Linked DNA regions of Struthio camelus. The main gene of each other region encodes a partner of the protein of the gene in region 2 in a complex. Links are inferred from orthologs where the notes say so. Each region holds a gene or a part of one and is shown on either strand. Other genes may lie near its edges.

The links.
Region 1: the proteins of ANPEP (region 2) and AGT are in contact, whole or in part, in a crystal structure (PDB 4FYS), measured with the Homo sapiens proteins. The link is inferred for Struthio camelus from reciprocal best matches to the Homo sapiens genes ANPEP and AGT. Residues at the interface, in NP_001141.2 of Homo sapiens: Gln211, Gln213, Ala351, Gly352, Ala353, Met354, Glu355, Arg381, Val385, His388, Glu389, His392, Glu411, Glu418, Asn438, Arg442, Phe472, Tyr477, Ile864, Phe896, Ser897, Asn900, Gln903, Ala904, Arg907; in NP_001369746.2 of Homo sapiens: Val27, Tyr28, Ile29, His30, Pro31, Phe32.

The regions. Positions count from the first base shown.
Region 1 is NC_090944.1:91,961,633-91,977,146, forward strand, and holds the start of AGT (angiotensinogen), read right to left. Parts: upstream 10,740-15,514; 5' UTR 10,591-10,739; intron 7,681-10,590; exon of another isoform or gene 7,403-7,680; intron 5,581-7,402; 5' UTR 5,554-5,580; coding exon 4,758-5,553; intron 300-4,757; coding exon 35-299; intron 1-34. UniProt on the Homo sapiens protein: Essential component of the renin-angiotensin system (RAS), a potent regulator of blood pressure, body fluid and electrolyte homeostasis.
Region 2 is NC_090953.1:681,821-696,977, reverse strand, and holds the start of ANPEP (aminopeptidase N), read right to left. Parts: upstream 6,081-15,157; 5' UTR 5,868-6,080; intron 5,588-5,867; exon of another isoform or gene 5,567-5,587; intron 3,921-5,566; exon of another isoform or gene 3,757-3,920; intron 3,330-3,756; exon of another isoform or gene 3,230-3,329; intron 1,811-3,229; 5' UTR 1,484-1,810; coding exon 876-1,483; intron 481-875; coding exon 338-480; intron 253-337; coding exon 116-252; intron 1-115. Other genes in the region: AP3S2 (AP-3 complex subunit sigma-2), read right to left, coding at 8,176-8,304, 9,105-9,212, 13,313-13,384. UniProt on the Homo sapiens protein: Broad specificity aminopeptidase which plays a role in the final digestion of peptides generated from hydrolysis of proteins by gastric and pancreatic proteases.

The DNA.
Region 1 (15,514 bases), on a different chromosome or scaffold from region 2:
CCTACGGGAGAGCGTTTGTGTGTCTGAACTGTACCTTGGAGACAAATCCTGAAGCCAGGCGGAGGATTGCACGGGAAGCTTGGCCTCTATCTTGTCCAGGTCATTGCCATTAATGGGCTGCACCAGCACTAGCAGAGCGTTCTTGCTGACGGGAGCTTCAATCACAGCGAAGGTCTTGCTGGCGTCAGTTTTGTACTTGAACGTCCCCATCACTGACATCCCAGGCACTGAGACCTTGGTGTTTGAATCAACCCAGAATTTCTGAGGCTCTTTCAGCCGCGAGGCTTTCTTAATAGTGACTGAAAAACAGATTGAGAATTAGTAATTGATTCTCCTTTCTTTCTTTCTTTCTTCCTTTTCACTGCTGCCCTTAAAAATTATGTCTGTTCCAAAAAAGCACACTACGTGTTATACGAAGGTCATGTGTATAAGATGATGTGTAGGTACCTCAACCATATGTATCCTGCCTTTTAAGTACCCTCTGACGGCATGAGGTAGAGGTTGGTGCAGACTCGGGGCACGAGGTCCAAACAAACACGGGACTGCTACCAGAGCTACTGTATTTCCACCGATCTTGTGGCCTTTCCTGGACGCAGTATTTCTGTTTACCTGGTTACCTACCTCCTCCAAGACTACCAAATGGTTCCCAGTTTGTTTCTAGGCCTGTGTGGAGGGTCTGTTTGGGTTTCTGTGACCTGGGCAGCTGGGAAGCCCGTGGCAAGTGCCGCAGGGATGGCCCTTGCTGCAGGGATGCCCTTAGGTGAGGAGAGGCGGCCACAGAGACAGCTGGGGGGCTTGTGAAGGACAGCTATCACGAGCTCTCCTCCAAGCCTCACCTCGGGTGATCTTGAGAACCAAAGCAATGACGGGCTAAGCCCTAAACATGACATGTCGTTTAGGCCAAGGAGGTTAAAAGGACATGTCTGAATGCTTTCTAAACAAACCTTAATATGAATTTCTTACCCAGCTCACAAGTATAGGGAGCCTTGCTCTCGCCTCCTGCTGCTCCTGTGCAGCTTTGCATTTCAACAGGTTATCTGCCCATTGCCATAGATCAGTGCTGCTGCCCAGGTGGACAGAGAATCCTGTTGACGTTAAAGAAGCTGCTGCCATCAGTGAGAAGGGCAGAGTTCAGAAACCTTGAAACTGCTCTTTGGCGGAAAGGAATTAGGAAAACAGATCATATGTTGTGGTAAAGAAAGGAACCCCTGTAGTAAAGTATTATTGGTGTAAAATAGGACTTGGCCTAGCTGTACTGTCAACCAGTCTGTTCTTCAATAAATCTAGATAAATCCTGGGCCCTAAAACATTTAATACGTAATAAATTGTTGCTTAAAGAAACTCTTGCCCTTTAGATGACTTGCATAAAAAGGCCAAGACGTTTCACTTAGACATTTTCTCTTAGTATGCTAACTTCACCAAAAAAAAAAGCAGCAGGCAGGAACGTGAAAGGCATAAACAAAATAATGAGTATAGTTGTTCACTTTTCTCTCATTTTACTAGAACAAAGGATATAAGCTGAAAGCAGAAAGGAGCCATTTTCACAGTGTCCGTATAACCTGCAGTACTTGCTGCACAGGAGAGCAGAAGCTGAGACTGTAACAAAGGTAAATAAAAGGAAAAAAGAACTGGGCATTCAGATAGCTGAACATATAAGGTTGTGATGGTAACTATTTTTAAATAGTCTTGGAAAGCACATAAAGAATCTTAGCGAGAAATAAACCAACATTAATTACTTACAAGGCAGCAGGTTAGCTAACAGGCTGCTTACTGATATTTCCTTCCCCTTTTCTCTGAAGTAGCACTGCCCTGTGTCAGCCATGGACGCTTGAGGACATGGACCTTGGATTTGCTCCAGGCTGTTCTTATGTTGTTATTAAGTAAAAGGAGCTCTCCAGAAAGAGTTGACTCAAAGGACCAGGAAGCTAATTGCCTCTGGCACGTTACATGCAAACGTTTGGATGCAGAAAGGCATCTTGAAGCAAGAATGGTGCTTGGGAACTTCACAGTTTAGTTGTATGTTGTTTTGTTAAACGCTGCCAGTGGGGAAAAAAATCACTGGTTGGGCAAATAAATGAGCCAAGCGGATAAATTGTTTCTTCAGCAGTACTGTTTTAATTATTTATTGGTGGTAGCGCATTTGGATCTGATTATGCAAAGTTTCAAAGCTCTGCTGTTGACTGTGGGACTGGGTTCATTAATATTGGGCCAGTCATGAACCACCATAAATCAGCATTGCTGTGCTGAGAGAAATGGCTCCCATCAGCCTTTTGCCAGGTAAGGATTTGGATGCTTCTGCCCTCAGCCAGGTTTTTTTCTGCCAGATGTTCCACAAAATACTAGAATGTGAAGGGAACGACTGGGAGCTAAGCACGCACTCCCCTGAAAGTGCTGCAGAAGCAGTCGGTAGTCTTAATACAACAACTTGTCACTGTTCCTTACAGCACTGTTTTTAAGACATAGAAGAGATCTATTTACTAAAGAAACCCTGCTTTTTGCTCAGGCATGTGGAATGTAAAACAAAGAAATTCAAAGGTGATGAACATCCCGTCGATAAAAAGTGCTAGCTGTCACTGGAAGAAACGCGTTATTGCACTGAGTCCTCTTGGATTAGGACATGGTCACTGTGGGGCTGAGGAACGTTTTGTCAACCACGTGGGAGCAGGGAAGAAAGCCTGTATCTAGAAACAAAAGAAAGATAATGGAAGGGAAGTAAAAATCGTGGAAGCCATCAGTCACAGGCTGAAGATATAGCCTGAGAGCCTGGGAGAGGACAGGAGTACTTTGGAGTACTGCCTCTGGAGGACAATAAAGAGACACTGGACCTCTCTGCTTCAGATAAGCTATGATTTTTTTCGTTAATAATAATAACAAAAGGCAAAAAGCATCCCACCACGTTTCTAGTTAAACCTGAAGGTGTTCAAGGTTATATATGTTTGAAAAGCAGCCTAAAGTGGGGGAAGGGAATTAAGAATCCTGCAGTCTCACTGTGCTGCATCATCCATTTCCATTTGCTCGTTTGTAATTATTTTGCAACTTTACAAAGAAGTCTGCTTCTTTAATAGTAATAATATTTCATGAGCGGTAGATTTCTAAATGCAATCTGGGCTTAGCATCCAGTTTGCAAATGTGACAATTGTGTGCAAGAGAACAGCAAGTGAGACCATTGCAATATTTAAACTTTGTTTTTACTGGATTTTTTAATCAATCCTATGGCTGTCAGTAATATCTTACGCACATATGTAATGTGTTCCAGAGCAATGTAATGCTTTTTTTTTTTCCTTCCTGCAGTTAAAGGAGCAGGATGTGGAACTTGTAAGCACCAGCTTTCATGGTTGCCCCTCCATAACCAAACTGCAAAGCAAATGCTGAAGTCCATCTCTAGTATTCATTGGAAAAGAGTTGTTTATCTAATTCATTCATCCTTGAGCCAGTTTTTTCCAGCCCACACATGGAAACTGCATCTCAGAGGGCATCCTCGGGAGAGAGCAGAGGAAACAGCACTGACCTAGTGACTCAGACCCTCAAACGTGTGCTTCTAAACTAATAAAACAGCAAGTTTCCAAGACAGAAGACAAGGAAGAAATTGCTCTGCTGAAGGAAAAGTCTGCTCTTGCGATGATACGCAGCTCTGTACAAGGTTAAAATACAAGAATTACTTTTACAGCGCTATCTGTATGCTTGACTGTACACTGATGAAGCGAAAGCTGGAGTTCTTGGCCCCCAGTACTCACACCTTTCACCCGAGGCTCTCGGATCAGTTTATAAGCACGATAGATCTCCAGCAGACAGCACCCATCAAAGGCAAAGAAAATCTGATCTCCGTTTTACAGGTGGGAAAAGGAAGGCTCAGAAGCATTTCATGAGCTCCACCTTTAGCAGTAGATGCCTACTTAGACACTTGCATCTCGCTGGAAGTTCTCTGAAATGTAGTCATTGGTAATGCAGGCTGCCATAAAGCTGCAACCTCTGGTATTGTGTTCAGTTGCTAGGATGGTGAAAAGCAACTGCGCTCAGCGGAGGAGGCTCCGTGGTCGTACAGGGGCGTATCTGGGACAGCAGCAGGCAGTAGCTCCAGGCAACTAAGGAACTGCCTTACATCTTCTCATTTTGGATATTCTCCCAACTGGCAGCTTGCTCAGTTGCTTCCTTAGCCAGAAGTTGCCTCCGGACTTCTCTGTTTAACAGCCACTAGAGGAGCCATGTCTGCGGTGTGGGTTGTTTTCTTTTTTTTTTTTGGCCTTTTTTTGAATCCGTACCTCCAGCCTGCACAATATCCTATAACACATAGTCCCCTCTAAAACCATGTGTTGTGTGAAGAGATATTTCCTTTTGTTTATTTTAACCCTACTTCCTGATGACTTTCTCTAGAAGCCCCTCACGGTTCTTTTTTTCCTTTTGTGGTAAGAAATAATCCTCTCATCCTTTGCTTCCTAGCTGAGGCTAATTTCTCCGAGGCAGTCTGCCTGCCTTGTCTCCATTGCCGTGGCGGGGCGCTGGCAGGGTGAGGAGAGCAGGCGCAGGGCAGGACCCGCAGCAGAGCAGGCGGCAGCACCTGGGTATGCGGCACTACACCTCTTGCACTGCACCTTTTTCCCCTCGCTGTGGGAACCTCCTCGACCTTGCCTCCTCCTCAAGAACAGAGCCTGACCCAGCGCAGCAGCACGGTGTTGTTAAATGGGACGAACGGGGGAGACTGGGGCATTACCTGCCCTTGGCGCGCTTTGCTGCTGAAATGAGCCCTTGCTGTTTCTTACCTGCCAAGTGAAAGTCTGCTGCAAACAGCAGGCTGGTGGCTGGATCGAGGTCTGCCAGTAAGTGCTTGCTTCGGCCCCCGCTTTTGGCCTCCACAAAGGCGTTTATCTGTTTTGCTGCCGCACCTGGGTTTGTGAAATCGACGGCTCGAACGTAGAGCGCGTTGGCAGAAGGGACCAAGTCATGCACAAATAATTCAGACAAAGGCACCCTGGGGGCAGAGAACAGGTAGAGCGTCTTGGAAAAGAGCAACTCCTTATCCCTGTTCTTGACCAGGAGGCTTTCGATAGTCCTCAGGGTTGAAAGGACTTTGTGTCCATCGACTGTGGAAGTGCAGTCAGGGTCTCCAGAGGGGCTAACAAATCCCAGCAAACCCTGCAAATCAGTTGCCGTCTGGTTTGACGCACCTAGGTAGAAGGACACCAAGGAGCCATAGACACTGGTTGGTGACAGGAGGAGGTTTTGGCCTCTGTGTGCTTCCTTCAGCTCACTGTAAAACCGTGCACCTAAGACATAGACAAAGTCCTTCAGGCAGCTCACTCTCTGCCTCTCTCTGATGCTCAAGCTCATGGTTTCCAGCTTGACTATGTCATTCAGGTGATCTTCATAGGCAGGTCTGGTTTGGGACTCGATTGAGACAGGGACAAACGTCTTCTTTCCTTCCTGGACCAGGTTCTCCAGCTCCTCGCAGGTACTCTTGTTAAAAGAAAACAAATTGAAGGGGTGGACATAGACGCGGTCACAGGCCACTGCTGTGAGGCATGCGAACAAACAGACAAGATTTGCTGCCAGCTTCATGTCGAAAAACCACCTCCACAGTGTCTCCTTAAAGAAAAAGGAAGGAAGATTGATTAGCTTGCTATAAATACTGTTCATTTTACTTGTATGGAGAGGCATTAGCGTAACGCTGGAGTTACAGAGGTGAGAATTGCTGTATTTAGTGCTGGTCTGACTCTGCTCCCTGCAAAGTCCAGGGTGAAGTCGTCACCAGTTTCGATGACGGGAGGTGGAAAAATGCTAGGCAGAGATTTGATTTTCTTAGCCACTGTAGTACCCTAAAGATTCAGGTCCTGGAAGCAATATGGTCATGCACTTGGACCAGTTAAGCTTGCCAGCTAGAGCGTACTAGTTCTGGCAAAACCCTGTAATAATGCAGCCATGTTGTTCCAGGGACCTAGTCAGAGCTACCTCTGCGCATTGCTGCACCGAGTCTTGGTGACACACGGACGGGCTAAGGAGCTTGCCTATTGTTACGCGGGAAGTGCTTTGGGAAACTAGGTGTCTTAAGGTCCTCTAAGCCATCCTGTTTTATATGTCTAGGCAGCAGAACGCTTGCCACTAACAGAGCATTTTGCGTTTTCATAGCCCAGCACAAGCATTCACTCTTACCACATGGCTGAAATGGATGCTTCTAGGCAAACACGTGCAAGGCTTCCTTATACAAATACACCAACACTGAAATCTTCAGGAGGGCTCTAAACCACTCAGTGCCACGTCTGTATCACCAACACTTTCATTTATATAGGGAAGTGTCCGGGTTTAAAAGCAATGTTCAAGCCCTGATGGCTTCCCAGCCTGAATTTTGATGTGCAGCCATATATCACTGAACGATCTCCAGGTCTTTTATGGCTAATAATTCTCCAGTCTGTGGTATCACCATTCTCTTGCAAATACAAAAACCAAGATGCACAGATGTTTGGTAATTAGATGTATACCTTGCCAAGTACATATGCATGTTAACGTGCACATCTGCATTCCCTGATTGTATGTTCATATCTAACAGGATTGTTTGCAGACAGGGTCTCTGCTGTTGCAGTGGTCCCTCAGGATGTCTAAACATCATCTTAGCTAGTGTCGGCCGGTCGGACCCTCAGTAATTTGCTCTGCACAGATGTGGGGGCAAAGACTTGCTGCAGAGCTCAAGTTCCAGTCCCATGTGTTCACACACGGTTTGCTCTTCGCTGTTAACTCCCATCCCAGCCTCTAAATTAGCACGTAGGTGGCGGCAGTTGCTGCTGTCCCTTCTGCTCCCTTCCTCTGTCTCTCTTTGCCTCACAGCAACTAGAGCTCGTAGTACGCTCCCAGCCCAGGTCCCGCAGCTGGGGATGTGCAGTGCTGTAGGGTTTCCATGCTGCTTACGACCAGTTAAAAAATTATCTTACGAAATATCCTTCCAACTTTCTCTTCACAGTTAACCCAGCCACTGTGCTAGAGCATTTCCACTCTTCTCTCCTCTGTGTTTTCCAGCCTGGGCCAGGCTCGGGGAAAGAAACAGAGACGCCAGGAATTGGAGGCATTGTCCTTCCCTCCCTGGTCTTCTCTATAATGATTCTGTGTCTCTGAAGCACTCCTTAATCCTTCCTGTAGTAGCAGTGGGAAAGACTCTGTGCCACTTGCTCTAGAGGCAAAGCTATGGCTGTGCCATAAGGCACAGCTGGTGCCTGGAGTTTGCTTTCCTGCTGTGGCTCTAGCCATGTTGTTAACTCCTTTCTCATGAGCAGAAGCAGCAAGAGGGACAGTTTTCGCTTCCAGCCCTTATACTAAGCCAGATCTGCGGAGAGCGGAGTCAGCCCAGAGCCTTTCGCAAAAGCCTGAGATCTTGAGCAGAAAAACTGACATTCAAAGCAAAACCAATAAATGTGCTTACTCGCGTCTGTCCAGATCTGAATCTCCCCCTCCGACAACGGGCAGGCTCCTCTCAGCACCTTTTTGCTCCTGGAGTGCTGTGTTGTGATTGCAAGTGGCTTTATGCCCTTTCCGAAGGGAGGGCCCTTTCTGGATGTCTCCAGCAACACAGCACGAAGCCGCTTTGCACCTCAGGCTGGGCGGCTGAAAGGAGTTGGATCAGGCCAGATAGGACCTGATGAAACTTGAGTGTGGCTTGACGCTGGATTCATAGAAGAGTCTACAGATCAATACACAACCTTTAACCAGACCCAGTACATTTGGGTAGTCTGCAGTTAGTTACACATTTACTAAGATGGACACAGACTCCTTGTTATGGAGAAAGAATTGATTCTAGGGCTGGAAAATAAGTCAGTCCATTTTAAGTCAGAGTCAGAATGAACATTTCCTTGCACCTGCATTTTACTGTACTGTCAGATCAGATTTTTCTCTTTTGGATAAATTGCTTTTAACTTGCAGCTTGTGAACCCATCAGTAAATGGGATATGTACTTCCACGCAGAGTGAAATGATTAAGCTCTCAATCTCTAGCCTTTCTTTTTCTCTTAACCTATCCAGAAGATCAAAAGTTTGTTTCTTTTCATCATAAAAACAAAATGTGTTGAAAAGGACAGGATTAAAGCTAGATGGTAAGGTTGCCAAATCCAGATCCCGTTCTCCACAGGGAACTCACCCCTCCCAATCTCAGTTTCTCAAATCCTAGGATGTCAAAATATTGTCATGCATAAGGGGTGGGATTCAGAGGTCTTTCTGCTGCTTTAGAAGTGATCCTCCGATTTTGCCGGGCTACTTCTTCCTCTTTGAGTAAATGAACAGCAAACCAAACTGGGGCTGCTGCCATTGGATTAAACTGAGTCCCGTTCCCTGCCCTCAGTGTACTTAAAGTCCCATGGCTCCAACAGGAATAAGACTGAGTTAATGGCCATACCCTGATCTTAGAGAGCCGATCAGGCATGGTAGGCCCTGTGGAGCCCAGTGACATGAAGACTTCAGGGAGAGAGGCAGGAACGAAGGCGGGACGGGCTGCTCACCCTGGGCCGGGGTGACTAACAGCGACTGGATTGCACTGTCAGGATCGGAGAAGGGATGGAAAATTTCCGCAGCCCTGCTTTTCATTTAAACAGCTTGATTACTTTAGCTGTAATGAGGTCTAAAAGCAGTTCTGAGTATAGGCCCGTGTGGCATGCCATCATGCGCACGAGGCCTGAATAAACAGCTTGAAATATTTAAGGTGTTTTCTCCTCTCCCTGCCTGAGCATCCCAATCTAAGAAGCATCTGTCAACAGAGCAACCCCCGAGCACTTATGCAGTCTCCAGATGGCTATAAAAGGCATGCATCCCCGCCACGGATCCAGGCAAGCGAGAAGCGGTTCCTCCATTAAAAATGCATTTTGTTGAGCTAAATATTGAGAAGAGAGAGAGCTGGGTTTCTGGCTGTAACCCCCCTTTGCCTACAGCTCTCCCTGCAGCCAGGCAGCCAGGTGCAGCCGGCTGGGGCCCAGCTTCTCGAGCCCGGAGGAGGCTTATGCGGGACGTGGGGTGGCACCATCAAACCTGTGTTTCCTGCTCCTCTGCTTTTGCGTTCGGCATTCGGCACCAGTGGTGTGCGTGGGGGCCAGACCGTGCCGGGCCTGTGAGCTGTGGCTGGTCCACTCTGTCCTCCTATGCAAGACTTAACCAGCAGAAAAAGGAAACTGCAGCACAAGTTTTCAGTGTCCATAGAGGGATTTCAAGCCTAGGCTGTTTCAGTGAAGGGCACTTTGTGCTCTATAAAACACTGAAAAATATCCTTATTAACAATAATTGTTAACTTTTGCTGACAAGCCATGAGGGATGCTAATAACAGATGCTACAGCTGCCAGACTCGTGTCGTTACTGTGGACAATAAACACGGGAAGAGGAAACCATGTAACCTGCAGCTGCTGCATCGTCCTCCTTATATCATTATGCCTTTAGCCATGATTCAGAAATGCTGCCGTAGCACACTGCGGGAGCTGTCCTGGGGGGCATCCCTGCTCCCAGCTGCCCTGGGGCCCCCCTGCAGCCCCGGCTCCTCTTGCCGCGGGGAGGCCGGGAGCAGGAGGCAGCTCCCGGGTGGTGCTCTGGCGGCTCCATCGCACAAAGACAGCTCGGTTTTTAGTTGAAAGTCTTCAGGTTTTTGGCCGAGCCGATCTTTTTTTTCTTTTTGGTGTGTGCGGGCTCGGTCCTATTTTCTTCAACAAAAAGTTGTCAGTAACTTTGGGGAGCGCAGGGATTGTTGTTTCTTGTTGTTTGCTTGTTTTTTCCAAACTCAATCAATAAAGTCGTTGAATGAAAAGACCCAACGATCTCTAGAAAACAGTTTCACGGGAGAGTTTTCAGCTTCTGCACTGCTCACAGTCGCTGTGGCCAGCAGCGTGCAAGAAATGCCTGCGCCGCATCACTGGGGGCGAGTGAGCAAGGCAGCGGCAGCTGAGCCGCTTTTACCACTGTGCTACTCCTGCTTTACGTCACAGGAAATCTGGCTCGACTCCGTAATGAATTAGAAGCTTTGATTTTAGCTTATGTTTGTGTCTTTGTACAAAGCTCAGACGCCAAGTCCGCTGCTCATTCACACTCGCTCAATTAACATTCCCCGATGAAGATGCATCAGGCACTATCGCACTTCTTAGAGCTTCGTATTTTAATCGTTTCACACTTTCCCTCTGGCTGCACACACGTTGCTACACCTGGGAACATATCTCATCCTGTTATGACTTAATTACAGTTAGTTTTTTACTCCTGAGCCATTTTTAAGCCAGAGTGCACAAATATCGTTCTAATTACTAAATGTGGACTCTCTTATCAGGCTTTTCCCCCCCCCCACCCCACCCCTGTAGAGTGGGGTAGCCAGGGTTTCAGGAATGAGCATGTGCTTCAAGGTAGAGCTTCGACTTCCGAAAGGTGAAAGTCTCTGCCGTGCCCTCAGCTACCCTGTCTGAGGATCTGGTGCCCCAGGGAGCTGTGGCAGAGGCACCGTGCCAGGCAGAACGGGCACAGAAAGCTTTCCAGCCACCCCAGAAGGTAAAAGCAAGACCTCTCCTAAAGGCATCGCCAGCCCAAACAGAGCCCAAGGCACACGCGTGAATCCCACCTTGCAACAGCCACCGAAAAGGCGCAGAGAAACACACACCTCAAACCTGCTTTTCGAGGAAGATGCTCATGCTCTTCTTCTCCCCCACTCTCTGATTTTGGGAGGTGACCCAGGTTTCCCTTTTATACCCACGGTTACATAAGCGGTGCCCCAGCTCCCATCCCCCAGGCGCTGCCCTGATTTCTGTTAGAAACCTTTCTCTGTTTTTGCTGTTTGTTATTCATGGTGGCGGCTTCCCCCTCCAGAGAGGGAGCAAAAGAGCGGCTGAAAAACTGGTCTCATCGGCACTGCACTGCGGTTTTTGTTTCCCTCGCATCCTCTCTTCTCCTCTCTTTTGGGCTATTGAAATTAAATCCGTTTGTCAGACAGGCTGACTCTCCTGACGTACGAATGGGGAACCATTGGCGGCCAAGGAAAATTTCTCAGTGTTATTGCTGTTAGTGTTTCTTTATGTAAACACCGTCAAATATGCTTCATAAATTTTAACCCTAGCAGAGGAACACTAATCTTAAAGCTAGCGGCGAATAATTAGATCTTGAATGGAAAAATGATTTGGTCCAAGGTTGAATATCAATTGATGGGCACGCAGGCTCTCCTCTTGCTGATGAACACTATGTCTCTGCTCTGTCAAACCGTGTTTTCATTGATCCACATAGTTCTGGGAAAGGCAGTATAAAATTCAGCACTTTATGTAGAGACAATAGTAAATATTTTATTCTGTTTTGTTCAGTTTGTTTTCCAGTTTGCTTAAATTTTGCCCTGAGATTTGAATTCAGAAGCAGCCAGACATATTACTGTGATGATGCTCTTGTCTCCTGTGAAGTTATGCCAGGAATTATTCAGAAGGAAGTTACTGTGGATCGAGGATAATAAGTGACTCCACTCGCTGATTCAGCCCACAGACAATGCTGAAAACCTTGAGAAACCTTCATGGATTGAACTGGCACCTCTCACCTATGTAGATTAAGAACCTGCACATGGCCAGCTCAGACGTGGAAGTCTGTACATAGTCACACCTCATTAGTTACTAGATGTGAGGATTTCTTTTTTTTTCAGATTAAAAGTACATTCAAGGAGAAGTAGGCACAAACAGTTCATTTATGCAACCTGTGGATTTAATTTGGTAATCGTAAACATTCATCAACATCAACATCAACATTCGTAACTGTTCCCCTTCTCTTATGTTTTGCCAATGGAAGACAATGTGAGATCCAGATACGGCACCCGAAGGAGAGGACGAATGACTGCTGGGAAAATGACCGGAAAACAGGGAGAAAGAAGAAGCCTGTGTGGGAGTACCTAACAGAAAGGAGACAGGGAATATCACTTTATCAGCAGCTGCAGTGGTTGCTGCAGATATGGCAGGCGGTCATGAAGCTGGAAGGCAGACCACTTGTGAGACACGCAAGCCACGCTTTCTAGAGCAGCCAAGAGCTTAAGCAGACTCCGACTCTTCGGCTTGGAAAAGCGGCCACAGAGATGGGGAGTGTAACCATATAATGATGAACAGCATGAAGAATGCAAACAGGATGTCCTTGCTCACTGTTTTTTCACAATGCCAGAATCAATGGGTACCCAGAAAAATTATCAGATAGCACATTTAAACAATAAGAAGTGCTCTTTCTCATATCTCAACCATGGAAGTCACTGCTATAGGATGCTGCAGAGACCAAAAATATTAATTAGTACAAAAAGAGATTAAATGAAATCACAGAGGATACAGCCATCGCGGTTACAGAACATGATGGTCCCAGACAACTGATTGGCTTGAATCTGAGCTTGATCGGTATCGCAGCTCTCATGGTCCTCCTTAAGGGCTTGTCTTCAACCTGTGATGGAAATGGAGATATCTGAGCTAAGGCCAGGTTAAGCTGGCTCGTCTTGTGGCACAAACTGGAAACTTTTTTTCAATAGAGCTATCACAGGGAAACATCACAGCTAGCAAGCCAGCCCTCGGCTGCGGTGTGGCTGTACTGTGCTCCTTTGCACAGTGCATTTAGGAAAACTGAAAAACTTTCAAAAATTGTGAGTAAGTTCTTAATGTTAATCAACCACTTTCAGGTTTTGGTTTTTTTTTTGCTCTCTCACCCAACATACCTGTACTAAACCAGTGGTACCATGGTGTGAAATTTGTCTCCTCAGGTCCTGCTAGACCTTTGCTCTCTGTTCTCACTTGCACGGCACATGAAGTATGCAGTGACTTCTTTCAGAGCAAGTAAGTCGGGAAGAAGGTGTACAGAGCTCGTGTTGTGCCAAGCAGGTTCCTGTGTGGTACTAGACCAGTCTTCCACCCGCTCTCCCTGTGACAGCTGTGGCAAGCTGCCCTGGGCCTGATTTTCTTTTGTTTACTTGTGCTATCTTCGGTGGGGAAAGGCTGGGCAAAGTAAATTTTTTAACTGTTTTAATGCAACTTTGATAAGGAGTAGCTTTGTATGTGGATTTCATTTTTTCATGTGTTTTTCTCTGTATACCTGACGCCTGCCCTTGTTGGCTGGAAAAACTTTTCCAGAAAAGTAGTTGGTGAACAGGAGGAATGTAATCAGTTCTTGCCCAATTTTTGTGTAAAGAGGATTGCAAAAAAGCTTCTAAATAATAGCATTCAAAGTACAAATGATGAAAGAGAGAGAGATTATCGGGCACCTCTGCTTCTGCAGCAGGTTCTCACGGCGAGGAGCGATGGAAAAATTTGTAAGGGAGCTGGTACAAAACCCAAGGACCGCTTGTACCCAGGCTAACCCTAGGGTCAAATTTGGGAGCAAAACTGAATCAAAGCCATGCTTGGCTATTCCCTCAGGGCGAAGTTACGTGTCAGATGCCATGCTAGGCTAGCAGCCCACTGCCACTGAGCTGGAGGGCCCTCCGCCCCGTGCTCACCTCAGCCTTCATGCTGCCCTGGCCCTTGCCGAGCTGAGCACCGACTGGTGACCGGCTCTGGTGTGCACGGGGGCTCCGCTCTCAGCTTGTCTCCAAACGCCAAGAAATGCGCTGCTCCCCACAGGTGCAGACCAGGGTAACGCTGGGAGCAGGTGCGGTCAGCCTCTCACTTTCTCGCACCTCTGGCACAGCCTGGGTCGCACTGGCCCCCCGACAGCCAACAGGGTTGATGGAGGCCAGGCTGGACTCATTTTGTAGAAACATGGCTGGGTCCCCAAATAACTACACTTACAGTGCAGTAATCCCTCCCTCGTACACAGAACGGCTCTTTCAGACAGAGCCCGCAGCTGAGGTGCCATGGCCATGCCAGCCACTCCTGTAGGCATCAGCCCCAGCTTTGCGGTGAATGGTTTGTGATGGACCACGCTGGTCCTAGCCTGGCCACGAACCTTCCCTGCGGAGAAGGGTTCCCCTTCCTTTTCCCCTCAGCCTCCCTCTAGCTGCCTCCATCCTTCCTTCTTTGCCGACAGCTGCTTGCCCTGGGCGGGCAAGTAGCAGGGCTCATATTTTGGCTGTCACTTGATGTTCCTCTGAGAAGAGTATCTGTTGCAGTTTCCCCTCTCACCCTGCCTCACTGGAGGAGCACTCTTATGTGTATACAGCTTGAATAGTTCACCAGTGAGAAACAGCCTGGCTCCTTCTCTGTTGCGGTGGTGAAGAGCTTCCTCCAATCTGTGGAGTCTTAGCTCCTGAAAGGCAGCTTCCATGCAAAGAGCCAGTGACAGGGGCAATGCTGCAACTTTCTTGGGTCAGCAGAAACGTTTTTCACTGCTCCACATATAATCTATGTTACAAAAAAGACTGAAGGTTTTGGAGACCCAAGACAAGAATGAGGCTTTCAGATCCACTTTAATTTGAAGGGTGCATAGCTCCCAACAGCAAAATTGTTGGCCTCATTGGACTCCCTCCCACTTTTGGATTCTGATAGAAAGATGCAAAGATGGTAGAAAACAGATAGACTGAACCAGGCAGCATCACGTTAAGGGTGCCCAGGTAGATAACCTTGTCTAAACAAGGTTATCTCTCCTTGGAGCTGCAATGTGCCATGTAGCTGCATCACAGCTCTTATAGGACTAGCTCCAGTAACACTGTGTAAAAGTGGGAACCAAATTCCCATGTGAATGCCTGTGTGGATCTATTTGCACATCTGAGTCTGCAAAAGAAGGAAAATACATTACAGATAAGTGCTGATCCAGCACATTGCAAAACTGCATGGATTTCTATGGCTTCCTCTCTTCCTAGGCGAAGGTGCCTCCGTGTGGAAGGCCTCTGCATCTCAGCTAGGCATGCAGTAGGAGCCGTGTTTAACACCAGTATTTGTGGCTAAAGTGCCAATAGCGTTTGGAAATGTCATTGCTTTACTTTTTACTTTATTAAACCAGTAATTCTGAGAGCAAGAGAAGGCAAAAACTTAAACTTTTACCCACCAGTGTTTTGTTTAGTTTCGTTTTGTTTTCTGGAAATAAGGAGAGACCCTGTAAGTTTTTGAGGTTTCTAAAGGTAAATAGCAAAAAACCCATCCTCTCACAAACCAGAATGTTGTGCTTTTTAGTTTTTAGTTGATCATTTTTAAGCAAATGCATAAATGTTTGCTGCAGTTTAGAGTCTATTTTATTTTATCTTACTTCTTTTTCTCCCCTTTCAATATTAAGCGTAAGGGCATGATATAACATTTTAGCTTACTGCTTAAAGGATAAAGCTAGGGAATAGTAATTTCAACCCAGGATATTCCTAGTGAGAAAAGAACAAAAATTGCCTCCTGCTCCTGGTCAGGATGCTGAAGTAGGCACTAATGAAAGCCTCTGAAAACCATAAGCTCCCCAAAGAGCCCAGTGAGTGCTCTCAAAGCCATTCGCACAGGAAAATCTGAGTTCCCATACGGTTTCCTCTGATTTGGAGGTTTGAAGGCATGCTACAGCTTGGCTCCTCTCCCACACTGCCACGCAGTGTTCCTCAGTCTAATAAAAAAGAATGAAAATAATCTTAAAAGCGTCCTTCTGTTTGTGAAATGACCCCCTCCTCCAGATAA
Region 2 (15,157 bases):
GGGAGAGACGCTGGGCTCAGCCCCCACTCGGCTCTGCCCCGTCCCATGCGTGCCGACACCCCGAGCCCCCGTCCCCCGCCAGGCTCTGCCCTGTCCCCCAAGCTCCCAGCCCTACCAACACCCTCCCCGAGGTGTTCTCCACACTCTCGAACTGGCTGACGATGAAGGCCAGCAGATAGGTGGACATCTTGGGGGTGGTCAAGAACTCGGTGACGTTCCAGCTCTCTCCATCAATCTGCTGCTGCCAGGTGCCTGAAGGAGGAGGAGAAGGATGGGATATCGCCAGCCTGCCCCGGGCCCCCCGTCCCAGCCCTGGGGCTCCCTCTGCCCCACTCACTCTTGGCAGGCATGTTGGAAATCGCCTTGTGGTCGGTCGGGTGGATGATGGTGACTGTGAAGTTGGCTTTCATGGCAGGCTCATCAAAGCAGGGGAAGGCTTTCCGCGCATCGGTCGCCTGCATCTGCGTCGTGGCCACGACCCTGCAAACGAATCCCCCATTGGCACCCGTAGCTCACGCAGCCCCCATGGCCCCATGGGAGGGTCAGGATCCCTCAGCAGAGCAAAGGGAGCAGCACTCACCCTGCTCCTCACCTGCTCCCCAGCCCAGCCTGCAGGCAGGAGCACGGGGACACGCTCAGGGCAAGACCCAGGGTGGCTTGTGCCCCAGGGGCACAGGGGATGGAGCACCCCAGCACCCACAGCCTTGTGTCTCCGCAGTCCCAGCTGGAGACAAGATGCCCCAGACCTGGCCCGTGCCCTCTGCTGTCTCTGGGCCAGCCCCATGCTTTGCCACAGCCCATCTCACAGACCCGCTCTCCCTGAGCTCCCTTCCCTCTTCCCTGTCTCCCACCGTCCCTCTCCGCCCTCCACCTACTTGGTCTCCGTCCCATCCATGTATTCACTGCGGTAGAAGCCAGCCAGGTCATCGGCCAGTTCCCCGGTGAAGATGCTGAAGAGCCTGTAGTACTGGCCCTTCTGCAGCGGCGCTGCCAGCTGCACCACCAGGTACTGGGTGGTGGTCTCCAGCCAGGTCTTGTTGATGGCAGGTGGGCTGGAGCCGTCCACCACCTGCAGCGAGATGTGGAAGCCCCCCTGCATGGTGTAGTTCAGCTTGTTGCTGTGGATGAGGATGATGTCGGTGGGCTCCTCGCAGATGAAGACCACAGTGCTGTTGCCCGTGAAGATGTACATCTGGTTCTCGTTGGGCTTCAGGAAGGGCCTCAGAGTCACCTCGTAGCTCTCCGGCTTCAGCGCTGTGGGCAGCCTCCACTGGTTCCAGAGGTTACTGGGGGCGGCCGTGGTGATGGGGGCAGTGGTGGTGGTGGTGGTGGTAGTGGTGGCGGTGGAGGCGGAGGGGGCGGCAGGCTTGTTCTTCTCCTGCGCATACACCACCGAGAGCGCAATGATGGTGGCCACGGCCCCCAGGGCCAGCACGATGGCCACGATGCCGACGCTCTTGCTGATGAAGAACCCTGCCGCCATGGTGGGACTGCAGGAGCAGCACCGGGGAAGGAGGCTCTGCCCACCTGGCACGGCTTTTAGCCTCTCGCTCCCACGAGGTTTATTAGTCCAGGTTAATGGGTGAATTATTAAACGGCCATGAGGCCCAGGGGGGTGACAGCCCCCGGGGACACGCTCTCTGTGCACCTGCCTCCCTGCTGTGCCGCAGTGGTAATGTGAAGTGCAGTGTTGCTGCAGCTGGGGCGAAGCCAGCAGCTCGGGACCGCACCAACAGGGACAGGCAGTGTGGGAACGGGCGCGGGCTGCAGGCCAGGACGCCTGGGCTCCCTCCTGGGCGCCTGCCTGGCCCTGCGAAGGGAAGAGCAGAGCGGTGTCACAGCTGGTGGCCACGACCCCGGCTCTCTGCAGGGCGAGGAGGACGGCCCCGGTACCCCAGCCCAGACCGGGGTTTCCTTAAGGCTGGACTCGGCGCTCCCTGCTTGCCCACGGCTCGGCAGAGCTCGCCGGGTCTCGCGGGGCTGGGGGCGAGCAGGAGGGCGCAGCGCAGCCCGCGCCCGGGGGTCCCGCCGAGGCAGGAGGGTGGAAGCCTGGGGCCGCGCTGGGGCGAAACTGCCCTGCCCACTGTGCTCACAAAGTCCAAGATCGTATTACCAGATTTATGTTGTACCAGAGGAGTCCAAACTCCAGGTCCCATGAACTCATCTCAAGATAGTGTGTGCCCGGTGCCTGGTGCTCCCACCGCAGGGTCCCGAGCAGCCTCGGGCACCGTGGGCAGCGCTCAGCCCGTGCGAGAGCCGTGGCCACGGCAGGCCAGGGCGAGCTCCGGGCTCCCGGCGGCCGGCTCACAGCCGGGAGCCAGCGGGCGTCCCGCGGGCCGGCACAGCCTCGCCTGCACCCCACAGCACCGGGACCCCAGGCTCCGGCTGGGAGCTGAGCAAACCTCCCGGGGCCCGATGCACTGGTGCGCAGGGCAGGGGCGCCTGGTGCGCCACGTGCGAGGGCAGGGAGAGCTGTGCCTTTGCCAGGGAAAGCAGCCGGAGCCGCCCTCCCGCCGGGCGCGGGAGCTGGCCTGCCACGCGGGTCTGCCCGGGAGCTCCGCCAGGGAGAGAGGCGCGAAGGCACAAAGTCCCGTGCAGGGCCCGGGGAGAGGAAGCGCGATCCATCCTGCCCCGGGAACAGAAAGTGCCTTTTCCCAAGATCTGATCTCTCCAGCGCTGTGACATCAGCAGGACTTGCCCTGCCGGGAGCAGGAGCGCTTGGGCTTGGGAAGAACATAGGAAATGGATAAGAAACATCCTCAGGGAACTCAGCCCCGTCCCCGAGCGTCCCAAGAGCGCCCAGACACAGCTGCCGGTGTCGCTGGTGGCTGCAGAGGGCATGGGGAGCCGTCCCGACCCCCGTGCCGTGCAGCATCCCCGGCCCTGCGGAGTCAGACCTTTCCACCGCCCGGCCCAGCCGCGGCTCTGCGCAGGCCCTGGGGCTGCAGGACACGCTCTGGCCAGGGTCTGCTTCTAGTGCAGCCCCCCAGGAGACGGGGGCCACAGCCAGCGGGGACGGTGCCCGGGGACCCCCAAACACCCTCCAGCTTGCACCGATGGGCATGCCGCACCCCAGCTCCTCGCAGAGGCACCCTGCGGCACGGTGCGCCAGTGCTCACCCCGGCTCGGGTGAGGGCACATCCCCAAAACCTCTGCCCAATGCAATTCCTTGCAGATAGCAGGCACTCACTGCACCTCGTGTCCCATTTCCATGGCCACGTGCAAATACCTGGCGCTCAGAAGAGACTGGGTCACGCGCACACAGAGGTTCCTTGAGGCCCCAGCCCTGCACACCCCATAACCTCTCTCACACACACGCTGTAGCCCTCCTAAAGTACACATATGCTCCATACTGTAATGCACACCCCGCAGCCCCTGCAGCACGCATGCACCCCATGCTCCTCATGCACGTAAATCACGCTGCCCAGCACCGCGGCCCCTGTGCACGCCCCGCAGCCCCTGCAGCACGCATGCACCCCATACACCTCATGCACGTAAATCACGCTGCCCAGCGCCGTGGCCCCGTGCACGCCCCGCAGCCCCTGCAGCACGCATGCACCCCATGCTCCTCATGCACGTAAATCACGCTGCCCAGCGCCGTGGCCCCGTGCACCCCGCAGCCCCTGCAGCACTCAGCCCGGGCACAGGCACGCAGACCCTCCTTTCCCCAGCCCAGCCCAGCGATGCCTGCAGGCTGCTGGCCCCAGGCTCTGCCCCGACACCGCCGTGGGTCCGGGCTGCGGCAGCCCCACTCACCTCAGTGCGCTCAGCCCCGGGGCGCGACAGGCCCCAGGCTCCCTGCCTGCCCCATCCCCGCCGGGGCAGCCTGCCTGCGCCCTGCCTGCCCACGGCTCTCTCTGGCTCCCCTCTGCAAGCTCGGCCAGCCAGCGGGAGGAAAGTTTCCTCCTAAGGCTCCAAGGGAAGTAACCTGAACCGCTCCTCGCCACCTTAACCCCTGGGCTGCTGGCCTGCCCTGCCCGGAGGGGCTGGCCGGGCACGTCCCGTCCCCCCGTGCAGCGCAGGGCGCAGGGCGCGAGGTGCCCCCGGCTGCAGCCGGGCTCCCGTGCGCCCAGAGCGGGGACGGGGCAGGCACCCCTCTGCACGGGGCCAGCGCCTCCAGCAAGGCCGGGGCCCCCGGAGCGGCGGGACCCACCGCGGCCACCGCATCTGGAAGGCATTTGCTGGGGGAAGCGGGCCACGCCAGGCGCACGCAGCCTCGGGGAGCGCGGCGCCCTGCTGCCGGGGACAGCCCGCAGCCGCCCAGCCGGCCTCAGGCCCCCTCCCCAGGGTCCTGCCGAGGTTCCTGCTCCCTCACCAGCCTGCTCACCCCTGGGGGAGCAGGGGACACAGCCCGCTGGAGGGGCAGGGGATGCGGGGACCGGTCACGCCATCACCCAGTGGCACCCAGCCAGCTGAGCACAGCTGGCTCGGTGCACCCAGGGGCGGTGTCCCTGCCGCTCATCACCCCAGCCCCGTGCCCTGCCCTACCTGGTGCCGGCAGGGACGGGCTCACGTGCCCGCTCAGGGGACCCGCACTGGCGCGGGGCTGCAGCCGGGGTGCAGCTGGGTTTCGCCACGGGCCGGTGGCCGCCCCGCTCGCCGCAGCCTGGTGCGGCGCCCTGCAGCTGGATGAGAGGCAGCAGCGCCTGCGGTTTTCCTCGCCCTGGAAGTGGCCCAAGCTACCCAGCAGAGCCCAGTTGGAGGGATAGGGAACTGGTTTCGCCCTGTGCTTGGCAGAGAAGAGGGTAAACACTCTTGTCTGCGGTATGCAGGTACCTGAAGTGGGGCTGGGCATACGCTTTGCTCCATCCATCTGCGTCCCTCGACCTCGCTGCCAAGGAGGTGAGGGCTTGGAGCTGTGGGAACGCACTCCCATGAGCAAACCCTGGCTGATCTCAACGAAATCCAGCACCTGCTCGGCGCCAAGACCCAGCCCGGCCGGGGAAGGGGACAGGCTGGGCTGGGCACCCCAGCTCCAGCTGCCAGGGATGGAGCCAGCCCCAACGCAGCGCTGCATCCGCCGTTTCCCCGACCATGCAGCAGAGACACGTCCCTGGAGGAGCCAGCCCTCCTTCCCCGCTGCTCGCAGCGCCTCCCGGCCACCCCCATCACCCGCAGGCGCCCCACGGGGCCGGCAGCCCCAGGACCCGGCCAGCCCCGGCCCTTCCCGCGCCTGCGCACGGCGCTGAGCCCCGCGAGCGCTGCCAGCACCGGTGCCAGGGTTGGCACCGGGCCGCCGCGTGCCGCACAGCCACGTCGCGGGAGCCAGGCCTCCTCCCTCCCTCCGCCCCGCCGGGGCACACAAGGGCCTCCCGTTTCAGGGCGGGAGCCGGCCGCCCTGGGGCACGGGGGCCTCATGCGGGAGGGACGGGGCTGCACTGCCTCGTGCGCCCCCGGGGCAGCGCAGCCAGGGCTGCAACCCTCCCCAGGGAGGAACCGCGCGGCCGGAGGTTTGGCCCCACTCATCCCAGGGCGAACGACCCCATCTTCTGCGTCCCCCTCTGCACGAGCGAGGAGGGAGCAGGAGGGGAAAGGGAAAAGCCTGAAGCAGCAGGCACGGACTCACCGGCTCCTGCGCAGCCCGCGGTCCTCGGCCTCCGCGGCCCCGCTGGGCCGGGCCCCCGGCAGGACGCGGGAAGGGACGGCGAGGACAACGCGGCTACCGGAGGCAGCAGCGCCTGAACACCTCCTTGCCGCAGAGCAAGCACTGCCAGGCATGTCCCGCACCAGCGACCGCCGCGCCACGGTGCCGCGCTGGGGCTGGACAGGACCCGGCCCTCCCTGGCGCAGCGGGTGCCCCCGGGAACCCCCACGTGGCCTGGAGCAGAGGGAGAACCGGGCACCGCTTGGCTGCCGCCACGTCCAACCTGCGCTCTGCGGCAATCCCGAGTTTTCCTCTCCAAGCCCCGGGGTCAGCCAGACCCCACGTCCCCTGCCTGGCCGGGCGCTCGCCGGCTCTCGCACGGACCTCCGCTGGGAGCTGGAGGAGGGCCGCCGGGGAAGAGGAAGAAACTGCGTGCCCAGCTCCTTGACCTCCAGGAACAGCTCGCGGTGGCTGGTGGCCAGCTGGGGAAGGGTTAAGCTGGCAGGGAGGGGAGCGGAGGGGGGCAAGGAGACCACAGGAAAATTCCTTCCAAGCACAGTCACCGTTTCCCTGCCAGAGGGAAGTGGAGGCAGAGCCCACGGGAGCGCAGCTGGGCTGGCCGGGGGTGGGGAGGGGAAATGAGAACAGGAACAGGCTCCCGCAGCCAGTCCCTGGACGTTGGTGGCCAGATGGAGCCGCGACAGGACACAAACCCGCCAGAGCCGGGGGCTCGGGGCAGGGCAGAGCAGCACCTCTGCTCGGCAGACGTCGCTGTCCGGCCCACGCCTCCACGCCACGCTCGGCCGGCCACCTCCTTCCGGCCGAGCCCTCGCACCCGTCCCCCGGACTGGGGCCACCTCCCCGAAGCCAGCCCGGACGCAGACCGCAGGGAGAGCTCCCAGCGGGCCGCAGGGCCGCGCGCCAGCCCTGGCCCCGGCCGAGCCGGGTGCCGCAGCCTCCCGCGTGCCCGGCGACGTCCTGCTCCCTGCGAGCAGCGCTTCCTACCAGGCAGAGCTTCCCAGAGCTTCCCAGCGGCTGGCGTTGGGCAAGAGAAGGGGCTGGATGGAGACGAGCACCGCCGTTTCTGCAACAGCCAAAGCAGGCTCCACAGCTACGTGGCCTCACAGCCGACTGGGGAGGCTCTGCGGCACAGCAAGGCCGGAGAGCTGGCGGGGAGGGCAGCGGGCATCAGGTCACAGATAGGTGGCCAGAGCCCTGCCAGGCCACCTCTAAAGGCAGATGGCCACTGCTGCGGCGCAGCCTCCGAGCAGGGCTGTCCTGCTCCCCCTGCCTGCTCCAGAGAGCAGGGCAGGATCTCAGCAAGGCGACCTGCGGGTGCCACACGCTCGGGGTGCCAGGCAGGGGCAGGCGGAGCTGACCCCATCGCCCACAACCTCCCAGGAGGACAAAGGGGCCAGTGGCCTCACCACCCAGCTCGCCCTTAGCACAGGAGCAGTGAACTGCCCCAGTCCCAGCAACGCCCTGACAGCGAGGGGAGAAAGCAGCGCCATCACACGCGTCGCAGCGGCCGTCCCGCTGGTGGGGGCTCCGGGAGCGCCCTCCTGGTGCTCCTGCTCTCCCCCCGTGGCAGCACCGCAGCCTCCGGGGTGCCGGGCAAGCCTGCCCTCGAAGCCCGCACCAGGAGGCCACAGAGCAGGAAAGCCCAGCCCATCTGCAGGCTACACTGCGTGCACTTGGCACCCAGAGCCTGGCAGCCCTGCAGCACGGCAGCCTGGGCACCAGCTCCCCCTGCCGAGAAGCCGCCCTGGGCAGCGGCAGCCCCAGCAGGAGCTGCACGGAGGCCCTCTGCCCACGCTCCCCCTGCCAGGCCGCCCCACAGCACCGCTCCTCCACAGCCCCCGGGCCAGCAGCACCCACGCAGATGCAGATTTTCATAGTGGTTTATTAGGACTCCGTCTTCCCCCCTCACCGCCAATGTCTGCCTATACCGCAGATGCTATCCCTTCGCCCAGACCAAGCAGCCCAGCAGGAGCACAGGTGACCAAACCCCTACTCATCTCATGACAGAGGGTCCATACCCAGTAAGTAGGAGTAGCGGGGGCACAGGGATGCCAGAGCAGTCAGAACAACACAGCCCGGGGGGACGGAGGAGAGGGACAACCCAGGGCTCCTCCAGAAGCCACCAGGGATAGATCCATTTTTAAAACTAGAAATTCCAGGTCCTGGCTTTTCCCGCCCCAGCTAGAGGAGAGGCTGCACATCCACCCGGGAGGGAGGGAGGGAGGGAGGGAGGGGAAGAAAGGCCACCCTTATTGCTAGGGACACCAGGGAGCACAGCTCAGCTCAGGGCCCAAGGTGACAGACAGACAGCAAGCAACACTACCCCACACTTATTGGGCCCCACACCCCACCAGAGCTCTCTGTTCTGCCAGGCAGTTCACGCACCCTGGCAGCATACCTGGCCCTCCACGTGCTGCACGGCCAAGGCCAGGGCCTGAGACAGGGAGGGGGGCACATCCAGAACAGGCAAAGAGAGTCCAGCTGAGATCAGGTCCTCTCAGCTGGAGAGCCAGCCAGGCTACAGCCCGTGTTCATGGACAGTCCTCCTCGCCTGGCCTGCCTAGGGATGCTCACACAAACTGTGACAGGTTGGGCACTTTGATGTTGATGTCTCCGATGTTAATGTTGCGAGGGATCTCTGGCAGGTTGATGTTCTTCACAGCTGAGACAGCGCGGGAAGGAGCTGCCGAGAGGCCTCCCTGGTGAGGAGAGCAGAGAGGGGAACACCGTGATTGCCAGCCCTTTGTAAGCTCCAAAGACTCCCAGGGCTTAGAAGGCTCCAGGCTGATCCTCCGGCTCAGCCTTGTGCTTTGCCAAGGGAGCATTCCCAGTCCGAGTCTCCAGCTCTCCCAGCACTGCGCTGCCGCTCGCAAGCGCCCAGGGCCTGGCCACATCCCCAGCATGCAGCCAGGCCCAGCTCAACCCCAGCAGCCAGCCAGGCACCCCTACTTCAGCAGAGGAGCCTGCATTTCCACCGCCTGCCTGATCAATAGTCCCAACTGTGTTAATAGCATACTACTGGGAGAGGCAAGGACATCCAAGCACTTCCCTCTCCTGCTATCAGCGCACAACTGCCTCCTCACAATGCCCTGCAAACAGGGGCAATAAACACTTTTCACTACCTCACTTCACTAATCTTGATGGAAACAGTGATTTCCACACTCTGACTGCTCCCTATACACCTGAAGCAAGGTGTGCAGCCGAATGAGGGATGCCCTGAACGCTCTCTTCAGGGCTCGCAAGGGCAGAACCCAGGCATGCTGGGAACAACCCATATACACAAGCTCCTCTCCCCCACACACTCCAGACCACACACCCTGCCCCTCCTCGTCAGTCTGGAGCACATCAGACCTATGCACCACGGACGTCCCAGGGAACATTTTGCCCCTCCGGTCAACCGGCACTGCATACCCCAGCACATCGCACCAAATCCTCCCAAACCCCCATGCTGTCCTCCCCTGCAGGTCACACCAGGGAGAGCCACGGCATTACCACTCACCTCTGCCTTCTCCAGCTTGCTCTGGGCCTCTGCCTGTGCCACGATCTCATTCATGTTGGTCTCCAGCACCATGCCACCTATCACCACCTCCTGCAGGATGTAGTGAACCTACGAGGCAAGGGAAGACCGTGAACCCAGTCCAGGTTCATGGGCATGCTGGAAATTGCAGGGGCCGCAGCCCCTGCAGGCTGGCAGGGATGAAAACCTTTGGGACAACCAGATTCAGGACAAAGCAGCGGGCACTGCAGTGTGGAGCGCTGGCCAGAGACCCCATCTCTGCCGAGGCACTGCGCCTTGGCCAGACTGAATGACTTGCTGGCCAGGAAGACCAGACATCTTGGGTTTCGGCACCCACTGCAAGGTGAATTAGCCCACTTACTCAAGTGTGGAAGCAGTGCTGGGGGCTGATGTTTCCCGGAGACATGCATATCCAGCCCCTTACTCATCTCAGCCAGAAAGCGCAGCAAACACAGCTCTGGCAGCTGGCTGCCTATCTGACCCTTGCCCTGGACCCTCAGTGACAGTCCAGGAAGCCAGATATACTGCTTGTACTTCTGCTTTAGAGAAGAATGACCAAAGAGACTGGAGTAAATGTTGCCCATCAGACCATTATGCAAAACAGCCCCAAGGGAGGCCAGGTCTGGCCCTGTCCCACTGACACACCCTGGTTGCAATATCCCTGATGGCGGCACTGAAGTTTGATCCCTCTCTGCAGCAGAAGACCTCTCTAGGACAAGGGCACAGTTCATCCCAGGGAACAACTAGAAAGCGCACATGAGAACAGTGGCCTCAAGGCACTGGGATCTGGACACTTCACAGAGCAGCAGTGATCTGAGAGCCTCCCTGGTGCCACCAGTCAGCATACTTTTTCTCACACCTTCTACCTATCCTCCTTTCCCTCTCCTTCTTCTATCTCCAAAGCCAGGCCAGAGACAAAGTGCCTGATTTTGTTACTTTCGCTTAGAATAGCTAGGACTGTGATACGCGCGTGCACACACACACACACACACACACACAGGGAAAGGACACAACTGTTAAGAGAGTCTCCTTCCTGCTCCAGGGGCCAAGGATGAAACAGAGTTGTCCCAAAGGAGAGAGCTGCTACCTCCTGCCAGCCCCAGCCAGAAAGGGAACCAGCAATACACTGCAACCACAGCATTAGACAAGGCCTGTCTTGGCTGGCAACCCCAGAAAAAAGAATACAGGATCACAGGTGGGCTGGGCCATGCTGTGCTGCTGTGACACACCTTCAGTTACACCATCCAGCACAGTACAGACTTCCTTGCTAAGTCAGCAGTCTCCAACAGCAACCCAGCACAGATAATGAATTTATGGGTCTCTGCTTACTTCCGTGAAATAGGCTATTACTGAAAGATGGTTAAGTTATTATCTTGTTTTATGGTTTCATGAGGGTTGATTGCACTTGCAAACATGGTGAGGCAAATACTTGCAGGGCAACGCTGTGAAAAATAAACCACGCTAGAGAACCTACCAGAAGGAGAAAATCCAGCTTTGCCCAGCTATAAGCCCGATGCCCCGGTAATGCTTCTCCACGGGTCTTGCCCTGCCCTGACAGTGCCAGGAGCATCAAGGTGTGCTGTGATCAGTCTTTCAACAGTGCTGCACAGGGAAAGCCAGTTGCCATACATTCCCTTTCTGGGTCAGCCATAATAACCCGATTGCCTCCAAGCACCACAGCACAGTAATTGCTCTCCCACAGCACCAGTGTCCACCAACGTCCAGCCCTGCAAACACGCCACAAGACGATACTAGCAGCTCTCCGCAACAGGAGAGCATCTGGGCTGCAGGAAATGTTGTTCCTTCAAGATCTGGCTTCAGTCCAAATTGGACCAAAACCAACAGGGCAGAAATTCCAAGAAAGCTTTGTTTTCAGAAACGAAACACAGCGCTTCCTGAACAAAACGTGTCCTTTCTGGGACCTTGCAGCTGCTTAGCAAAACTCACGTTCTCATCCAAGGCATGAAGCACAACTAGGGTCTGTACAACAGGACCATGCCATCATGCAGCCTGTTCTGAGTCTCTCCACGACTTCCACAGCTCCAGCCTCTCCTTGTGAAAGAAGGATCCCTGCAGCTTCATGGTTCCTGCTTCCAAAGCTGACAGCATAAGAGTACCTGTGCCACTGGCTGCCTGTGAACCACAAACTCGACAGCCCCATTCAGCTGCCTGCTGCAAGACCAGGGACCAGAAACCTGCAGAAGCTCTCATTTCATGGATTTCATGCTGCCGCCTCACAGGGTCCAGGCAAGGCTGCACCCAAATCCTAGCCGGAACCTGCTGGGCTTGAGATATTAACAGCCAAAGGCTCAGCTCAACCAGTGAGCATTTTCCAGTGGACGTTGGTTTACTTTCTCCCCTGTTCTAGTCAGGAACTCACAAACTTTGTAATCAATCAGTCAGAGCGGAAGGTAGCGCCATGCCCAACCTTTCCTGCACAGCCTTTGACAAACTGAAGTCTGGAGGCAGGGGGCCTGTGAGAGGCGTTCTGTCCGGACATCAGAGGGGCAAGACATGGAAACCAGCACAATGTACCTGCATATTCTCAGCGCTCCCAACAGTGCAAGCCTGTAACCTAGCAGCTGGAACCACTGGCAGTCAGCAGAAACACATCCGGGAATCAAGCAAATGCTAAATATAGAAAGATAGATTAAGTCCAAACAGGAGGACCAACTGATAGCGGCCAAGGACTGAAGTCAAGGCTGGGAAACAAAAGGAACACAGAACCGGAAATAAACAAACCTAACTAGTATGAGAGCCTTGGGGCTGACTGAGCCTAGTATTTCCCCTGTAAGAAATTCTTCCTGATTTCTGTCTCCTTTGAATCCTTAGCTTGTCAAGAAAGTTTAGAGGAAGGACAGTTCATGCTAATGCTAGCAAAATGCACAAGCAATAGGAACAACCTCTTCTGCCTGTGGACTGCGGAATCACTGTAAAGCTGCCAGGTCTGGGTCACTCCGCAAATTGAGTAAATGAGAGTGTATCCTCCTCCAGACACTGCCACAGAAGATTTGGGTTGCTGCATCACTTCTCCCTCAGGTACTCCTCACCGATTTCCTCTCTCGTCTCCCTCTCCTTTTGTTTGCTTTGATAAAGAGTGTTTTTTGCTGACAACACAATCAACCTTGTAAACCTTCTGCAAGTTTACAACCAAGCAAACTATAAAGTCAAAATCTTAACCAGTTGTTAGCACATTCAGCTGCTCCAGAGCATCTTCTAAGAATATCTGCTAACTCTATTTCTCTGCCAGAGAATTTATAAATAAGAACCACCAACAGAAAGGGAACGTTTTACAGCTTTACTGATCTTTTCACTCCTCCTCTTTGTTGTTATGTTTTGTCTTCAGCAAAGCAGGAACAACTTTTATCAGCAGTAACACAAGCCCAGGACACATCAGCTAACTCTCTCCTATCCCTAAGGATAATCCCTGCTATCTTCAGTTGCATCTAGAAGATGATCAAAGAGAATAGGTTCCCACCCAGAAACTCTGACCAGCTAAAGAGGAAGCATTAAAGGTTGTGGCTCAAATGAAAGTTTACCAAACACTTTGTATTCCAAATACTCCCATTGTTTTTTCCCTTGTTTTCTCCAGCTCTAATGAAATGTTAACAAGACTCCAAATAGTGTCCTACAGCGCAGTAAGAAGAGGTAAAATGCCTATATACAAAATCAGATCCTGTTTAATTCCATCAGTGCTGACCACTGTGCAAGAGGTGGAGAGTGAAGCCTCAGCATGGATCCCTGTCACATGAACACGTGAACACCCAGCACGTCTAGGGCAGTTATCAGAACCAACCCATATCCACAAACCGATTGCTTTGTTGTAGCAGAGATCACAGCACCACAACAGCAACGCAGCAGGGAACTGGGGCAAGTGCTTTGAACCTAAAGCCAGCTTACACACGGAGGACTCAGAACGCAGCCAAGCAACTCGGATCGTTTACCAGGAGGACATGGCACGAGCAGCTTATAAAGAACACATACTGATAATCTTCCCAGTCAGAATTTTGATCTCCCTCAGGGAAGAACCTAGCTATAGGCTCTCCTGAAACGCTCAAGAGCTTGGAGCGAAGCCTGCTTCTGGGCTCAGGAATGTACGTGCTAGAGAAGGCAGAGCTCAAAAGCAGCAAGATGCCGGGATGAAACAAAAGGTGGTGGCCTAGAGGAGCGCGCAGAAGCCTAGAACCCACCTTGTCCATGTGAAAGATGAGGTCCAACTCACAGACATTCTCAAAGCACTTGTCCAGTGTCTCCACAAACACCTGAGACAGGAGGAAAGGAAGGTCAGGACAGAACAAGCAAGACATTTCCCGCACACAGCACCAGTGCTTGCACATGCAAAAGGCTACAGCCCTGGCCAAAAACTGTCAGATCGCTCACTGCATCCCAGGCTTTTACCCTGAACAGGAACAAATTCCTCTTCAAAACCCCACCTACTTTCAGTGCTAGTGAAGTGCCTATTCCCAGGGCAACCACACATAGGCTCAGCCCCAGGAAGCTGGTCAGGACCCTGGCTCCAGGAAAGGAGCAGCATCCAGGGGTGGTGTGGAGGATTGGGGGTGTGCACAGAGCAGGCTGAGGGGGTTAGGCAGAGCTGCGAGCAGGATACGCGCAGCGAGCAGCCAAACAAGGAGGCCTCTTTCCGCACAGGCACTGCCCAATAGTGCTGGGACGACCAGACACGCTCTTAGTGCCAGCCCGCACTAAACCACAGAAACCAAATCAAAAAGCCCACATCAGCTCCAGACCCTAGGAGAAAGTTTGTCTTGGCAAGAGGCATGTGGCTGGAACATAAGCCTGGCCCTGGCTGAGCCTGCTGTGAACGGACTGCACAGCTGGTGTAATACCAGCAAACTCGGAGGGCTCCTCCTCCAGCAGTGGGTCACGCTTCCTCTGAACTGTTACTTCTACCCAGTTGCTATTGTCTTCAGTTGTTCCTGGTACTACCCAGGGCAACCGGAACCTCCAATTTCAAGGATGTGGTTTGAACCCAAGTCCAAAGAGCCTGGCACAGGGTAAAGCACACTGAAACACGGAACTTGGCCGTTCTGGGGGAAAAAAACAGGTGCCAACGTTCTGATAAACTGCAGTCACAGGGCCCTGACTGGGACAATGGCTAGTCATTGTGTTCTTCCACAAGGGCCAGGCTTGCAGTCATCTAGAACAGCTTGAAAGGGTTGAAATATGGGAACTACATGATCACAGCAGGTGATCCGAGCAGGGCATGAGCCCTCTTGGAATCAGGAAGGACAACTGAGAGATGTTGGATATGTTACAGTAGGACACATGAACAGGACAAGCGTGAAACGCTCTACAGTTGGGAACTCTTCTCCACAGACAATTCCCAGCTGGGAAAACTTCATTTCTAGCTTAGGATCTTTGAAAAAAAAAAAAAAGCTAGAAAAGGTGATTTAAATGGTAACTGCCATGGAGCTACTTTCCAGAGTTTGATAAGAGTGTGGAAGATGACTCCAAAAGGAAAAGCCTGCTCCAATGGGACAAAATATTAACTCTGTCACGTGCTGGTGTGGCTTCAAACTTAAAAGGGAAGAAAGAGGAACTTGTAAAAAAAAAAAAAAAAAAAAAATCAGAGACTGATCTGCAGAGGAATACTCTCAAAACTCATCAAAAGTAACCAAAGGCATAATTCTAACATTAACTAAACTGCATTAAACTGCTATGCAGACACTCTCACATGTGCCTTTAATTGGATTTAGCAGAGGTCCCTTTAGAAGCCCACATAGTGATTGAATAAAATTTTTAAAAATTCACTTTTTAATAAGTTTATTCAGACTTTCCCCAGCGTTTCCCTGCAGACAAGTTTTGAGTTATGTATCAGCTAACACATGTCAAGCAACACCCTCCCCTGTCTGAGCTCACAAGAGAACAGTTTCTCAATCACTCCCAGGAAGCTGTTATAGACATGTAAATGCATCTGGAAGGTTTAGAAGGCTGGACCTTCTGGCAGTAGAGGAAAGCACCCAACAGCCTCTCATGGCTAAGCACTTTGTCAGAGCTCCTGGTACTACTAAGGT